Linked DNA regions of Macaca fascicularis. The main gene of each other region encodes a partner of the protein of the gene in region 2 in a complex. Links are inferred from orthologs where the notes say so. Each region holds a gene or a part of one and is shown on either strand. Other genes may lie near its edges.

The links.
Region 1: the proteins of SUMO3 (region 2) and SENP2 are in contact, whole or in part, in a crystal structure (PDB 2IO1), measured with the Homo sapiens proteins. The link is inferred for Macaca fascicularis from reciprocal best matches to the Homo sapiens genes SUMO3 and SENP2. Residues at the interface, in NP_008867.2 of Homo sapiens: Arg55, Arg58, Arg60, Phe61, Asp62, Gly63, Pro65, Asn67, Asp70, Leu75, Asp81, Asp84, Phe86, Gln87, Gln88, Gln89, Thr90, Gly91, Gly92, Val93, Pro94, Glu95; in NP_067640.2 of Homo sapiens: Gln385, Asp386, Phe393, Lys394, Leu395, Arg396, Trp410, Leu411, Asn412, Asp413, Glu414, Ser439, Thr440, Phe441, Pro444, Lys445, Arg456, Trp457, Lys459, His474, Lys476, Val477, His478, Trp479, Met497, Gln499, Gln542, Asn544, Gly545, Ser546.
Region 3: the proteins of SUMO3 (region 2) and USPL1 are in contact, whole or in part, in a crystal structure (PDB 7ZJU), measured with the Homo sapiens proteins. The link is inferred for Macaca fascicularis from reciprocal best matches to the Homo sapiens genes SUMO3 and USPL1. Residues at the interface, in NP_008867.2 of Homo sapiens: Gln24, Asp25, Gly26, Ser27, Val28, Arg58, Arg60, Gly63, Gln64, Pro65, Ile66, Asn67, Asp70, Leu75, Phe86, Gln87, Gln89, Thr90, Gly91; in NP_005791.3 of Homo sapiens: Ala234, Cys236, Trp237, Pro321, Gln322, Leu323, Arg324, Met330, Glu331, Ser332, Val334, Phe335, Leu339, Tyr368, Thr378, Thr380, His393, Phe394, Gly395, Pro396, Asn398, Arg407, His421, Val423, Tyr451, Asn454, Asn455, His456, Phe457, His493.
Region 4: the proteins of SUMO3 (region 2) and SENP1 are in contact, whole or in part, in a crystal structure (PDB 6NNQ), measured with the Homo sapiens proteins. The link is inferred for Macaca fascicularis from reciprocal best matches to the Homo sapiens genes SUMO3 and SENP1. Residues at the interface, in NP_008867.2 of Homo sapiens: Gln24, Ser53, Arg55, Gln56, Arg58, Arg60, Asp62, Gly63, Pro65, Asn67, Thr69, Asp70, Gln74, Glu76, Asp84, Phe86, Gln87, Gln88, Gln89, Thr90, Gly91, Gly92; in NP_001254523.1 of Homo sapiens: Gln440, Asp441, Glu446, Arg449, Leu450, Thr451, Lys455, Trp465, Leu466, Asn467, Asp468, Glu469, Asn494, Thr495, Phe496, Lys500, Arg511, Trp512, Lys514, Lys515, His529, Gly531, Val532, His533, Trp534, Gln597, Gly600, Ser601, Asp602, Cys603.

What each region holds. Positions count from the first base shown.
Region 1 is NC_088376.1:97,560,865-97,565,070, reverse strand, and holds the end of SENP2 (sentrin-specific protease 2), read right to left. Parts: intron 4,154-4,206; coding exon 4,058-4,153; intron 1,887-4,057; coding exon 1,824-1,886; 3' UTR 561-1,823; downstream 1-560. UniProt on the Homo sapiens protein: Protease that catalyzes two essential functions in the SUMO pathway.
Region 2 is NC_088377.1:2,241,139-2,245,493, forward strand, and holds the start of SUMO3 (small ubiquitin-related modifier 3), read left to right. Parts: upstream 1-1,503; 5' UTR 1,504-1,586; coding exon 1,587-1,607; intron 1,608-4,355. UniProt on the Homo sapiens protein: Ubiquitin-like protein which can be covalently attached to target lysines either as a monomer or as a lysine-linked polymer. Does not seem to be involved in protein degradation and may function as an antagonist of ubiquitin in the degradation process.
Region 3 is NC_088391.1:10,421,774-10,425,334, forward strand, and holds part of USPL1 (SUMO-specific isopeptidase USPL1), read left to right. Parts: intron 1-655; coding exon 656-769; intron 770-1,280; exon of another isoform or gene 1,281-1,436; intron 1,437-3,561. UniProt on the Homo sapiens protein: SUMO-specific isopeptidase involved in protein desumoylation. Specifically binds SUMO proteins with a higher affinity for SUMO2 and SUMO3 which it cleaves more efficiently. Also able to process full-length SUMO proteins to their mature forms.
Region 4 is NC_088385.1:54,825,553-54,829,113, reverse strand, and holds part of SENP1 (sentrin-specific protease 1), read left to right. Parts: intron 1-1,915; coding exon 1,916-2,019; intron 2,020-2,101; coding exon 2,102-2,388; intron 2,389-3,561. UniProt on the Homo sapiens protein: Protease that catalyzes two essential functions in the SUMO pathway.

The DNA.
Region 1 (4,206 bases), on a different chromosome or scaffold from region 2:
TCGGCCTCCCAAAGTGCTGGGATTACAGGCTTGAGCCACCGCGCCCGGCGCATGGAATCAATCTTAACCATGGTACCAAACTCTCAAGTGAAGCACGCTGATGCCCAGTGAAAGCCAGGTGTTTGGTATAATGCTGACCTAGTGACCTCTGGCCTTTTTGGCTGTGCTCATTGCCTGGTCCCAGTAGTCACTCAGTGCCAGGAGCCCAGGGAAAGGAGCAGGGGCTGCAGGAAGGAGGGAGGTGTAGCACAACCTGCTCCCACTTCAATCATCACCCAACCACATGGCCTCTGGCTGACCATCAAGTAGGCCCAGCATTTTCAATCCACACCACAGGCCCATGTCCTAAACCAGGATTTTACAAGTCTCAGGGAACTGGCTGCAATAGCTATAACCAGTATACCTCTGGGACCAGCAGCCGGAGCACTCCAAATGGCAGGCATGTAGATTCATAGGTAACACATGCCCAATTTTTCCAGTTTTACCTCTTGCTTTTATGAACCAGAACAAGTTTGGGAGGTTGAAGTAGGGAGAGGGTTGGAAATCATTTCAGCATATACTTTTTTAGGTTCTGCCAGACAACCTTTTATTACATCAGAAAAGCAACACTAGGCACTAGATCTTGCAAAATATGTTCTGACCAACTCTAAACTTTCTGAAGTTATAACCACATCAGTAAGGTTTTTAATGAACAAAAAAGTTAAATACAAACTTTCATATGCAAAATAGATTATTGTATAACTGGCAACCTCAGAGCCAAGTACTAAATTTTCTTCCACAAATTTCAGTGGGGATGGAGTGGGGAGATGTCAGTCTTAATGAGTAGAAAACTTAATTTAGGCTTAATATATAGAAAACAAAAACTCTGAGGAAAAATAGCTTTAAATTGAATAGTATCTTTTGAATTAAACAGCTCAGGCCAGGCCCTATAATTCTGAGGTTTATACTCAATCAGATCTGGGATGAAAATGAAGATTTAGGGTTTACAGTTACTTCAAATCCATGAATCCAGTTTCAAGACTAAGCCAAGTCACCTCATTTCCAGAAAGGGAAGTCTCTTTAAGATGACAACACATCTCTTCGGAAGATGCTTGGATAGTCAGAGTTCCTTGGGCACAGGTCCACTGTTCATGGCACTGTGCCAACGCTGTAGTGTCAGACTTCCTCTGAAAGGCAACGGGAGCCCTATCCCACAGCATTTTCATTTCTCCCAGCATTTTTGAGCCTCAAAAAAACAAAAACAAAAAACAAAATCCCAAACCCTCCAGCTTCATGTTGGCAGTTACTGCTCCAGCTCCACTTCCTTCCGCCCCCAGTGAGAGTTCCCTCCTGGTCTTCAGCAGGGAGTGGCAGCTTGAGTAACATTCCTTTCAGAAATAAATAGTTCAAACAAGTAATTTAGAGCTAACTGTAAAAGAGCAGCAGCAAATGACCACTGCCCATTATGTTTGCAAACGAGTGAGTGAATGAATACGCTGAACAAACACACAGAAAACAAACAATTCACAGAGTAAATCCTGCATTTCCCACATTCATAGGGAAAAGAATCTCTTAAAAAAAATAGTAGTTAGCGTTTGTTCTTGTGTGGGTTGAACAGTCCAAAGCTCTGAGCAGGCACAGCCTTACAAACAGGATTGCAAGCAGCCCTCTGCACCCCAAGTCAGGACTAGGGTGCAGTGAGAGGCCTTCATGCACTTTTGACAGCTCAGTACCTGTGAGAGAACAGAAGTGATGCAGGGACTTTTTAACCCACAATGCATGAGGTATATGGAAATGTCTGTGAAAGAACCACCAGCAGCTAGAGGGGACCAGGCAAAGTTTTCTCACAGCAACTGCTGATGAAGGATTTCCCACACCATCTTCTTCCGGAAGAGAGGCATCTGGTGCTGCAAAGAATCCCATAAACAACACATGCATTACATCATAATGTGCACAGCAGCACAACCTTCAGGTGTAATCATGTCAATAAAGCAGGATGTCCATGTTCTTTTTCTAAATGTTGACATTTTTATATCATGGAACATACTTATCAAACCATTAAAAGGCCGGGCGCAGTCCCAGCACTTTGGGAGGCCGAGGAGGGCAGATCATAAGGTCGGGAGATCGAAACCATCCTGGCTAACACGGTGAAACCTCGCCTCCATTAAAAATACAAAAATTAGCCGGGCATGGTGGTACATGCCTGTAGTCCCAGCTTCTCAGGAGGCTGAGGCAGGAGAATCACTTGAACCTGAGAGATGGAGGTTGCAGTGAGCCAAGATCATGCCTCTGCACTCCAGCCTGGGCAACAGAGCAAGACTCCATCTCAAAATAATAATAATAATAATAATAATAATAATAATAATAATAAAAAACTAGTGATGTCCTACCTAGGGGTGGGGGCTAAAAAGTCTTAACACATGATTCTTAAATTATTTTAAATAGTTCAAAACATCTAGTAAAAACTGCACATTTGCTCTTAGTAAAACTGCTAAGACTAAGCAATAAATGCCTTTATTTTTTACTGGAATTGTATTAATTCAGCATGGGAGTCCTAGTTACTTCATGTAATACAGTTTGTATTATAGTTTGTATTCATGTAATAAATACAGTTTGCTTGGTAGACATCTATCAAAATAAAGTCTGTGGATGAAAAATATATATATATATTTTTTGAGACAGAGTCTCGCTCTGTCGCCCAGGCTGGAGTGCAGTGGCTGGATCTCAGCTAACTGCAAGCTCTGCCTCCTGGGTTTACGCCATTCTCCTGCCTCAGCATCCCCAGTAGCTGGGACTACAGGCGCCCGCCACCTCGCCCGGCTAGTTTTTTGTATTTTTTAGTAGAGACGGGGTTTCACTGTGTTACCAGGATGGTCTCGATCTCCTGACCTCGTGATCCACCCGCCTCGGCCTCCCAAAGTGCTGAGATTACAAGCTTGAGCCACCACACCGGCCTGAAAAATATTTTTAATGAGGTTGTCCTCAGTTGTAAAAAGGTTGAGAATCCACTGTTACAAATTCTCAAGAATTCCCAACATACTTGAGTTTCCAATCAAATGCAGAGCCATGGAGAATTAAACAAACAAAAGAGCAGAACAGAAAGGAAGAGCAGTATTCACAAGTTACATCTTAGACCTGTGACTTCAATGCTCACAGGCCTGTTTTTCCCTTCCTATTAAATACTGACATACCTCTTTCTTTGGCTAGAAATAATAATACACAGGAACCAATGAATGCCAGAGTTCAGAGGTTTGCAATTTGTGCCCATTGTGTACCAAAGACTAGGATAAACCTGAGAGCAGATAAAATAACAAACCCTGATTCTGGCAGGGGTAGGGCTAAAACCAAGATTTACAGCAATAAGAATAGCACAGCTACTACTATTTTTTTTTTTTTTTTTGGGGAGATGGAGTTTCGCTTTTGTTGCCCCAGGCTGGAGTGCAATGGCGTGATCTCGACTCCCCACAACCTCCACCTCCTGGGTTCAAGCAATTCTCCTGCCTCAGCCTCCCTAGTAACTGGGATTACAGGCATGCGCCACCACGCCCGGCTAATTTTGTATTTTTAGTAGACACAGGGTTTCTCCATGTTGGTCAGGCTGGTCTTGAACTTCTGACCTCAGCTGATCCACCTGCCTTGGCCTCCCAAAGTGCTGGGATTACAGGCATGAGCCCAGCTACTATTATTTATTTATTTTTGAGACAAGAGTCTCGCTCTGTTGCCAAGACTGGAGTGCACTGGTGTGACCTCGGCTCACTGCGACCTCTGCCTCCTGGGTTCAAGCGATTCTCCTGCCTCAGTCTCCTGAGTAGCTGGGATTATAGGTGTGCACCACCACACCTGGCTAACTTTTGTGTTTTTAGTAGAGATGGGGTTTCACCATGTTGGCCAGGCTGGTCTTGAACTCCTAACCTCAGGTGATCCGCCTGCCTCGGCCTCCCAAAGTGCTGGGAATATAGGTGTGAGCCACCACGCCTGGCCAGCTACTACTACTGAGAGCTGAACATGTGCCAGGCACTGGCCAAGTGCCTTATCTTGCTTAGTAACAAGTAAATGAATGAGGAGGGTCTTCACTCACCTGAGTAAATGTGATAGGTTTGTCCCTAGAAATATAATCTGCATATTTACAAGTAAACATTCCACAATCACTCCCATTCAACTGTTGAGGAATCTCCTAAAATTACAAAGAAAAAAGAAGGGAGGAAAGGGTAAAACATCATTATATAC
Region 2 (4,355 bases):
AGTTTAGTGTGCCTGTGCAACCAACGGTCCTGCTGTTTTATGATTAACGGTGTCTTGGAGTTGATAACTCTCTGAACCCTGCCTGCCCTAGGGCACTTCCCCGCCAGCAATCTGAGGGCTCTGAGGCCCCGCGTTCCGGGGAAGGGGCTGGTTGCGGAGCCCCCTCCCAGGACAGTCTGAGCTGGCCACCCACCTCCACATCTTCTGCTGAGGCCCTGGGCTCCAGGTTCCGGAAGGAAGGGACCACACCATATGACCTGCCTGGAAGCCAGGCTGACTCTCTGACCCTCTCCCTGAGAGACTTCAGCAGCCTTCCCGCTCCTAAGTGGGGGCTCTAGCCAAGAAAGTGAATTTTTGAGTCGAAGACGATTTGTGAAGTTATGGTCCATGAAGACTTGTCTCCATGGCTTTGCGACGTTGCTCAGTTGGCTGGGCCTTACCCAGGCAGGAGAGAAACGGCTCAGACCCTTAGGTTCAAATCCAAGCCCTGCCATTTCCCAGCTGAGCCTGTTAGGTGCGGCCTCCCCCACCTTCTGCCGGGCTCAACTTCAGGTGAGACCCCCGCCACGCCCCGGCTGGCACCACCCTGGCACTCCTGACGGATGCAGGGGTGTCCGCCCTCATGTCTGTTCCATCCGAGGCCCTGGGATCACAGACAGGGAGGCCGAGGCTGGCCGGGCATCCCAGGAATGGCGCCCGCAAGTCCCAGGAGGCCGTCCGGCCGGCCCAGCGCTCCGGCGCGTTTCCCGCGTCCACGCGGTCCCCGTTCCGCCGGCACTGGCTGCGTCCAGCCTGGGTTTGCCCGCGCTCGGCGACGGGGCTGCCTGGCCCAGCTCGACGCCCCTCACCAGCGCTGACCTGGGGGTGGTGTCACCTCCCAGTGCCTCAGTTTCTTCACAGGAAAAACGGGTCTTCTTGAGGACGGGTGTGGAGGGCCCGGGGCAGCCCCGTAGGAGCGTTGGCCGAAGGAGCCCGGCCTGCGGCTGACAGGAACCCTCGGCTGCAGGGAAGCGCGTGGCGCCCCCAACCGTCTAGGTGCTGGCCGGATTCGCGCGGCCTCCGCTGACGGGACCCCGCGGGCCGCCTCCTCCGCTCTGTCCGCGGCTCCCGAGAGGGAACATCACCCCCAGAGGCTTCCCTCCTCCGCCCCAGGTCCCCGCGCCCCCGGCCTCACTTCCTGGCGCCCCAGGAACGCGGCCCCCAAGAAAGGACTCGGGGCCCGGGCCCGGGCGGGGAGGCGGGCAGGGGTCCCCAGGGCCCGGAGTCCCCGTACGCGCTCCTGGCCCGCCCACCACAGCGCCCCAGGGCGTCCGCACCCGCCAGGGTCGCGCGGGACCCGCCCCGTGACGCATCTCCAACAGCCCGGAGCCGCGGCCCGGCCAGCGCGCGCCCGACGCCCCGGGGAGCGCGCCTCGTGCACGCGCGCCGCCACGTGACCCCGTGCCGGCCAACGGGTGCGCCGGGATTTGGGGGATAAAGCGCGGCCCCGCGCACAGTTGCGGCGGGAGAGCGGCGGGGCCGAGAGCGTGACTCGCCTGCTCCGCGCTGCTTCCCCCGCGCCGCCTGCCCGCGCCGCCCGCGCAGCCATGTCCGAGGAGAAGCCCAAGGTAAGCGCGGCGCCCCCGCCCGCACACGCGGCCATCGCGGGCGTCCCGGGCGCCTCCGCCGCCGCGCGCCACTGTCGCGGCCATAGAAGACCGCAGCTTCCACGGGGACCCGCGCCCAGGCCTGCAGCGCCGCCCGCGCTCCCGCCCCTCCCCCGCTCCCGTCCGGCCGCGCCGCTCCCCTCCCCCGCCCGGCGGCGCTCGGCGGCGCGCCCCGCCTCCAGCCCGGCTCCGCCCCCAGTCCGACTCCACCCCCCAGTCTGACTCCGCCCCATCCCGACTCCGCCCCCAGCCCGACTCCGCCCCGTGCCCCTGCTCCGCCTCTCCTTGCCCCCTATAGCGCCCCGCCCCCCCGCCCCCTGTAGCGCCCTGCCCCTAAGTGGGTCCGCCCAAGACGGGCCCCTCCCCGAAGCGCGCTGTGCCGCGAGCTCCGTCCCCGCCGGGCCTGGCCACGCCCCAGCTCCACGCCCATCTCCTCCCTAGCTGGGAAGGCGCGCGCCTAGCGCCTCCCAGACCGCCGGGTGTCGGGCCCTGCGCTGCTCCTGCCGAGCGCAGCGCCCTCGGATCCCGCCCCGGCAGTGTCCCCGAGGCGTCTTTGCGTGATCCTCTCCTGAGTCATTGCTGGGCGGGGTCGCCTTCTCCCCCGGCATCGCCCTGGGTGCGGGGTCCTGTGTCAAGTGCACGGAGTCGGCTCAGGAATAAGCGTCTGGGGTTACCCCCGAGGGGCGCGCTCTGAGGGGCCTAGCCCCTGTGAGCAGCGCTGCCGTCCTTCCAGGGCGCCCATCGCGCCCCCGGTATTCACCCACTTCTCCACACCGCGTCCTGGCCGTCGCGTCCCCCAGTGTGCGCCCACCCCTCTCCTTCCTGTCTCCCCGGTCGTGACCCCAGTGTGCACCCACTGCCTCTCCATCGCGTCCCCCGGTGTGCGCCTACCCCTCCCCATCGCATATCCCGGTGTGCGCCTACCCCTCCCCATCGCGTCCCCGGGTATGCGCCTACCCCTCCCCATCGCGTACCCCGGTGTGCGCCCACCCCCCCCATCACGCCGCCCATGGTGTGTGCCCACTCATCCCCATCATGCCCCAAGGTGTGCGCCCTCGCCTCCCCATCAGTCTCCCGGTGTGCATCCACCCCTTCCCATCATGCCCCCCGGTGTGCGCCCACTCCTCCCCATCGCGTCCTTGGTGTGCGCCCACCCCTCCGTATTGCGTCGCCCTCCCCATCACACCCCCCGTGTGTGCCCACCCCTCCCCGTCGCGTCCCCCGGTGTGCGCCCACCCCTCTCCATCACACCTCCTATGGTGTGTGCCCACCTCTCCCCATCACGCCCCTTATGGTGTGTGCCCACCTCTCCCCATTGCGCCTCCCCTGCCATGCGCACCCACCCCTCCTTATCCAGCCTTGGGTGTGCTTTAGTTTCCCCCATTGCCACACTGGGGTGTGCATCCTTCCAGTCTCAGTCCTGGGGTATGCACCCTTCATTCAGGTGCACTGGCCACTCCTCCTTGGGAGGGTCCTTAGTCGCGGTCTCCAGTGTTCATAAAAAGAGAACCTTTCGGAAGCCCTTGGTGTGCACTCTTGGCCTCTATGTTACATCCTAGTGGAAGATGACTAGAGCTGAAGGCTCTGTAAGGATGCTGTCTCTGATACTGGCCTGGTCCTGGAGGTGACCACCCTCCCTTTACAGATGAGGGTGGAGGCTCAGTGCCAGACACTGGTGGAAACTGGGATGGAACCGTCCGGAACCATGGTTGCGGCCTCTGGAAGTCTGCACTCTGCTTGCTGTGGTCAGACTCCAAGGAAACCTCCCCTATCCAGATGGCATTTGGAGTGACCTTCGCTTTTTACATTTTGACTCCAGTGAAGTCAAAGTTCTCCCACTCAGGGGTTGTTTGAATATTTAAATACTTGTTAAAACTAGGCCAAATATAAATGTCCTTTCTTTATGTTTTCGTAGGTGGCTTCCTCTTAATGAAGAGTACATGTAATAAAATATGTATGATACTCATTTTCTCAGCAGTGTTTACACTTAGCTCTGCCATGTGGTCAACCTCAGGCTCCAATTCCGTTGAAAACACTTGTTGAATTCCAGAATGATTGAGTGGCTGCCACCTCACAGGCCCTGCTCCTGGTGGGTCCCCTCTGAGCCCATGTGGGAGCAGCTCTACCCTGTGGGGCTCTGAGGAAGGGGAAGAAGTGGACTCTGGGGCCCAGTGGTGCTGGAAAGAAGAGCTTTTGGGTCAGGCAGGAGAATGTTCTGACTTCCCTGGATAGCTGAGGCGGAGGATTGACTAGCAAACTGAGGCCCATGTTTTTAGGGCTTCATTTTTTAACTCACGAGTTCACTTGCTTATTAGGAATTTACCAGGGGTCTGGGACAGACCGACATTGCTGGTGTCTGTCTGTCTGGAGCAGAGGCACTGTGGCCGGCCCTGCCCTGCCCCAGCCTCTCCTGGGGCTGCAGCCATTACCCTGTGGGGACACGTGTGGGCCCTGCATCTGTGCCTTTGAACACACTCATATCTTCCTTCCCTAAAGAAGCCAGTGCATCCTCATGCTTGGGGAAGTGAAGGGGGCTCATGCAGGGGTCCTCACTTCCATCCCGCCTGGAACTGTTTGCATGCTCTTCCTTCCTAGGCCAGTTTTCCCTGCGCTGGAGGCCACATTTGGGATGGGGGGATGGGGGTGTGCCAGCTCACCACTCAGGCTGCTGCCAAGCCACCGGCGTCCCGGGAGTGGGCAAGGGTGTCT
Region 3 (3,561 bases), on a different chromosome or scaffold from region 2:
ACTACAGGTGTGTACCACCATACCCAGCTTTCTTTTTAAGAGATAGGGGTGTCACTCTGTTGCCCAGGTTGGTCAGAGGTTTTAATGAAGCAAATTTGTGTAGACAAAGCAGGATGTGGAACCAAATAAACACTATGTTGCCACTGAAGACCCCTTCAGACTCCTCAAAAATGACATAGAAGGGAAATATACGAGGTATTAGTTTGGGAAATAATTGTAACTTTATTAAGACTCCTTATAAATTTATCTGTTCCTATGACCTGGCTAAGTTCAATAAAAGTTACACAGAGTGGAATAAATGAATAAATCATTTGTAGTATAAGTAATTGCACATAAGGAGGTAACTTCTTTAGCTGTTTTAGATATAGACATAGCATCTGAAAGGTTATTTTGCTATACCTGTGATTATATGGGTGAGAAAGGCTTTCCCCGAGATTTTACCCATTAGGTAAGTACTAATGATATTGTGCTGATAACATACATTAAGGGAATATATGGTATACCACAGAGAAAGAATTAAGGAAATTTGGTGTTTTGCTTTTTGTCTCTGTTTGCAGAACTTACTGACTCAGCTTTCATTCTTGGGAATGTCTCAGTTTTCTGTGGCAAGATACACATCGATGAGGAATTGATAATGTTCTTTGTATTTTCTTAGATGGAGATTGTAAAAAACTTACCTCAGAAATATTTGCAGAGATAGAGACCTGTCTGAATGAAGTTAGAGATGAAATTTTTATTAGCCTTCAACCCCAGCTTAGATGCACATTAGGTAAGTAATTGGTATAACTTGCTCGTATTATACTCATCTACCATTTAGAAATACGTACATCATAAGGAAGTATAACACTGTTTGATTACCTTGGATGATCATCTTCTTGGGAGAGAGAATCTGAGTGGTCTGACTTAGGAATCTACCACTGGGTAGGTTATTGTAGGGCAGAGCCGTTCTATATAAATATGCAGGCTGGTGTTCCCCCTCTTGAGAGTGGGTGCTGTTCTCAGAACCAGGAGAATTTTAGGGGCATATCATTAGTTGCTTCTCTAGTACGTTTCCTAGCAGACAGATCTAGCATTTTTAACCTCAATTGTGCATTAAAAAGCACCGAGGGAATTTAAAAGTAAATGCCAATGCTAGGGGCATTTGAATTAGAATCTCAGGGATGGGGCTCAGGAAATCAGTAATTTTTAGAAACCCCACATGATTGTTAAATGTACACAGGGTTTAGAATCTCATCTAAACCAACCATAGTAATTCTGTTTCCCTACCGTGATTGCTTTAGGAATGGACATGTGGTACAGTTTTGGCCAGTGGATATTAAGAGAAATATGCTGATGGCATTTTGAGAAAGCTTCCTCGCCTTTAGAAAGGGCACAAGGATGGGACCTCTTTGTTCTCTGTGACTTGGTTTTTGGCCTGTGGGAGTGGTGTGCAGCAAGTGAGTTAGAGTCTGACCAAACCTTTCTAAATGTCTTTAGTATTACAGAAAGGAGCTGTGGGGTTTTTTGTTTGTTTTTGTTTTGAAAGGGCTTTTTGTTTTATTTTCCTTTTATCCTTGTATTAACTCTTCTAGTAATGTTAGAGTAGCAGAGTACGATACTCCCTCTTAGTAATTACCCATATTATGTAAAGTATCAGTGCCTTCTAGTTTTTCTCTCAATGAGTGACATTTAACTTATATTAAAAAATGATTTATATATTTTATAATAAAATCAGTTGTTGCAACTGATTTATCTAGCATGTACAAAAGACACCATGCTTCCAGATCATTATAAAATATGATATTTTATAATATATTGACAATATATTTATAACATATTTATATACTTATACAGCCGGGCACGGTGGCTCACGCCTGTAATCCCAGCACTTTGGGAGGCCGAGGCAGGCGGATCACAAGGTCAAGAGATCGAGACCATCCTGGCCAACATGGTGAAATCCGGTATCTACTAAAAATACAAAAATTAGCTGGGTGTGATGGCATGTGCCTGTAGTCCCAGCTACTCAGGAGGCTGAGGCAGGAGAATCGCTTGAACCTGGGAGACAGGTTTCAGTGAGCCGAGATTGCACCACTGCACTCCAGCCTGGGGACAGAGTGAGACTCTGTCTCCAAAAAAAAAATATATATATGTATATGTGTGTGTGTATGTGTGTATATATATATATATATATATAATATATCTGGAAGCATGGCGTCTTTTGTACATGCTGGACAGCTTTTGACATATTTCTTTGACTCATGCTTCTGTCCCCTAATTTTCACTTTTTTCCTACATTTTATTAAAATTGATATATAATTATTGTATATCTGCTTTGTTTTTATGGACTTATACATATATATTTATTCTGTTTTTATAAAAATCTGATTTTTCATATGCCAGATTTCTGACATTTCCTCCTCTAGGCCTAAAGAACTGTTCTAATTTATGTATCAGATAGACTCTGAGATGAAATGAATATTCTTTTTTCTTTATATCAAAGTGTAATTTACATATAGTGAGACCCTTTTTAAGCGTGTACAGCTCTGTAACCCTCACTATAGTCAAGATATAGGACTCTGTCACTCTAAAACTTTTCACCAGGCTCCTTGTGGTTAACCAGGTTCATCACCCCCAGCCACTGATCTGTTGAGCGAATACTCATTTCGAAGGAGCCTTTTCCATAAGATCCTAGAGTTTAGATGGAGGGGCTTTTGTGGTGCATTTAGCAGGTACCATTTCCCTTCTAGAGTCCCTACTTCAGTTCCCAGTTGAATTAAAGAATGGTTTCTCCCCCAGCCTGAATCACTACCCTTCTTATCCCAGATAATTATTTTTGGAACGAAGTTACATCTTTTGCTCCACCTCCGCCATGGGCCTGGTTTTCTATGTAACAGAAGGAATTTTTAAATTATTATTTTGTGTAATCATAATAATTGGGCAAGCATACAGCTCTTTCAATGCAGGAGGATTCCTCTCTTGTTTTACTGCCCATTCAAGGATAGGTGCTATATTTTAGCTGAAGATCTTACTAATTAAATATAACTTATTTAACCATGTGTTTTGAGCTCTTTTATGATATTTTAATTCACGGAGAACTTTATGTATTTTAGACCTGAAGATTTTATATTGTGATTATGAAATGTAAATTGTTTGCTTTTTCAATTAATATTTACTTACAATAGAATGCGGATTTAAAGGCTGGTAATGAATTACAAAATTGTGCTATATGACATACTATTTATGCATACAGTGTTGCATATTTTCATTTCTGGGAGATTTATTTGTATTTCTACTTACAAAAAAACTTTTTAAAACTTGTTTTATGGCTGGGCCCGGTGGCTCACACCTGTATTCCCAGCACTTTGGGAGGCGGAGGCAGGTGGATCACCTGAGGTCAGGAGTTCAAGATCAGCCTGACTAACATGGTGAAACCCTGTCTCTACTAAAAATACAAAAAATTAGTCAGGCGTGGTGTAGGAGCCTGTAATCCCAGCTACTCGGGGGTGCTGAGGCAGGAGAATTGCTGGAACCCAGGAGGCAGTGGTTGCGGTGAGCTGAGATCGCGCCACCGCACTCCAGCCT
Region 4 (3,561 bases), on a different chromosome or scaffold from region 2:
TGCCACTGCACTCCAACCTGATGACAGAGACTCCGTCTCAAAACAAAACACACACACACAAAAAGAAACCCCTACATATTGGGTGCTGTGGCTCATGTCTGTAATCCCAGCACTTTGGGAGGCCAAGGTGGGCAGATCACTTGAAGTTAGGAGTTCGAGACCAGCCTGGCCAACATGGTGAAACCCTGTCTGTACTAAAAATTAAAAAGCCGGGGTGTGGTGGCGTGCACCTATAGTCCAAGCTATTCCAGAGGCTGAGGCAGGGGAATCACTCGAACCCGGCAGGTGGAGGTTGCAGTGAGCCGAGATGGCGCCCCGGCACTCCAGCCTGGGCTGGTCAGGAGATCAAGACCATCCTGGCTAACACGGTGAAACCCCGTCTCTACTAAAAACACAAAAAATTAGCCAGGCATGGTGGCGGGCACCTGTAGTCCCAGCACATATTGAAATATCACGGTACAAGATGCCGCTAACCCTGACATAATGTTTAAAATTATTTTGTGAGGATTGGTGGTTGTATTAAACTGTATATGAGATTAAAAATAAATTGCCAGGGCATATTACTAAGTGCTAGTGAACACAGCCCATTGAGTCATGGGACCTGTATAGAATTGATGCTTTGCCAGAGTTATAAGTTCTTATATAATCTGGTTCTCTGTCAGGTGATCTCATTTCTTCCTACTCTTCTGATTCACATGGACCTTACTGTTTTTGGAACGCATTAAGCACCTTCCCCTCTCAGGGCTTGGCATTTGTTGTTCCTCTATTTGGAATATTCTTTTATATGTTTCTAGGACTGACTTCTTCCCTTGGCTTTAGGTTTCTGCGGAAATACCACCTTTTTAAGAGAAATCTTACCTGTTCCTGCTGCTCTCCTTCCTAACTTTCCATTCTCTTACCCTTTAATTTTCTGCATTCTACCTGACTAATTTTTTGTTTAATTCCTTTCACTGCAATATAATCTCCATAAATACAGGAACTTTATTTTATTCGATGCATTCATTATCTTTAGTGACTGGAGCATAGTAGGTGTGCATGACAATGAATGAATGTTATGAAGTATATGGTTTTCCCTAAATGTAGTATTGGGGCTTAAAGGAAAAATAAATAAATAAATGTTGGAGATGAAAATTGTCTCTGGAAAGTAACTGCACTTAAATAAAATAGGAAACTGTTGGCAAGATATTCCACTCCAACTGTTTTGGACTATTCTGGTTACTTCCTTGTGATTTTTCTAACAGGTTTCAGGAATCAAGGGATTTGTTGGAATCCTAATTTAGAGGCCCTTTATTTCTGGGACTCTTTTTTGACTCAGAAGTGATTACCTGCTGCCTTTCTGGTTTTATAGCCTATAGCTTCTCTGCACTATTATTTAAATATATATTCCATAATTTTTCAAAGTATATTATCTGGTATTTACTCAACCTCTCTTTTACACATTTGATAATTTTATATATATATATTTCTTTTTCTTTTTCTTTTTCTTTTTTTTTTGAGATGGAGTCTTGCTCTGCCCCCGGGCTGGAGTGTAGTGGCACGATCTTCGCTCACTGCAACCTTCGCCTTCCAGGTTCAAGTGATTATCCTGCCTCAGCCTCCCTAGTAGCTGGGACCACAGGCATGTGCCACTACAGCCAGTTTTTTTTAGTTTTTCTTTTGTAGAGTTGGGGTCTCACTATGTTGACTGGGCTGGTTTTGAACTTCTAACCTCAAATGATCCTCCCCGCTTGTCCTCCCAAAATGCTGGAATTACAGGCATGAGCCACTGTGTCAGGCCCGTAATTCTTAATTATCTTAAGGATTCTGCCTGAGCTTTGGCAGAGCTAGGATTCCATTTACATGCTGGTTTGAGAAGTACTTGCCTTATTGCATGTGTTTAAACTGTTTTTTTTTGTTTGTTTGTTTGTTTTTATAGACAGTTCAAGAAGAAGAAAGAGAGATTTATAGACAGCTGCTACAGATGGTCACAGGGAAACAGTTTTCTATAGCCAAACCTACCACACATTTTCCTTTACACCTGTGAGTCACAGAAGCATATTTCAGATGAATTTAATTCTACAATTTATTATTTGATATTGAAACAATATTCTTCTCTTGCTAGGTCTCGATGTCTTAGTTCCAGTAAAAATACTTTGAAGGACTCACTATTTAAAAATGGAAACTCTTGTGCATCTCAGATCATTGGCTCTGATACTTCATCATCTGGATCTGCCAGCATTTTAACTAACCAGGAACAGCTGTCCCACAGTGTATATTCCCTCTCTTCTTATACCCCAGATGTTGTTGCATTTGGATCCAAAGATTCTGATACTCTTCATCAACCCCATCATCACCACTCTGTTCCACATCAGCCAGATAACTTAGCAGCTTCAAATACACAATCTGAAGGTAAACATGGTATCATATAACTACATTTTTAGTCCTAATAGCCAATTAACTGTTTATTAGCTCTATTACAGGCAACATTGTAATATACATATAAATAAACATACACAGTTTGAGCATACCGAATCTGGAAATATGAAATCCAAAATGTTCCAAAATCTGAAACTTTATGAATACCAACATGATACTCTAAGGAAATGCTCAGTGGAGCATTTGGGATTTTGGATATTTGGATTTGGGATGCTCAAATTGTATAATGCAAATATTCAAAAGTCAAAAAAATCCAAAATTTGAAACTTCTGGTCCCAACCATTTTGGATAAGGGATATGGAACTTGTAAGACATGTACTTCCATACTTTAAATACATATGATTCAATTAACCATGCTATGAGTAAATTAAACCCACAAATAGGATATTCTTTTTTTCTTACCTCAAGATGCAAATGATTTGATACTTTTTATTTAAACAATTAACTTTCTAAGTAGAGGCTAGAGTCAGAGTATATATACTCAGCCCAATTGCTTCAGCACTTTCTCTGTTTCTATGACTTTACAGTGGTAAGTAAGAATTCTGAAGTTGTAGGAGTTTTGAAACATCAGATAAATATTGAAGCTTAAGTATTTAGGTTTGTGTGTTTTAGAATGATTGTCAGCATTGGAAACAAAAAGCTTTCTACCTAATTTTCAACTAACTGAAATATTCACTCTCTTTGCATTCCAGTTAATTAACGTTTTGTTGTGATAGATTTCTTTGTTTCCTTAATTTTCCCCTTCTTTAGGTATGTATTATGTATCAATTTATGGTACGTACTTAGGTATGTAACTTAAAACAAGTTTTAGGTTAAATGGTTAAACATCAGGGATTTTTTGATAGATGGAGCACTAGTCGTTCCCCTCCTTTCTCAGGTTGTTTGAGTTTTGTTTTTTTTATCTACTTGTCACTTTATGAGAATTCTCACTCAGGATTAAACTTTTTGGCAGCATCACTATATAGCTACACATATCCATGAAGACTCTTGTTATATTTTGTGAGGTGATATACTGAGAACTGTAAAGGGAAAAAAAAAAGCCAAAAAAACCAAACTCCTTTAACCTCAGAAACATACATTGTGTTGCAGATATTATACAACTAAATTGAAACAAATATACTACATTGCACTGTTTAATTACTTTCC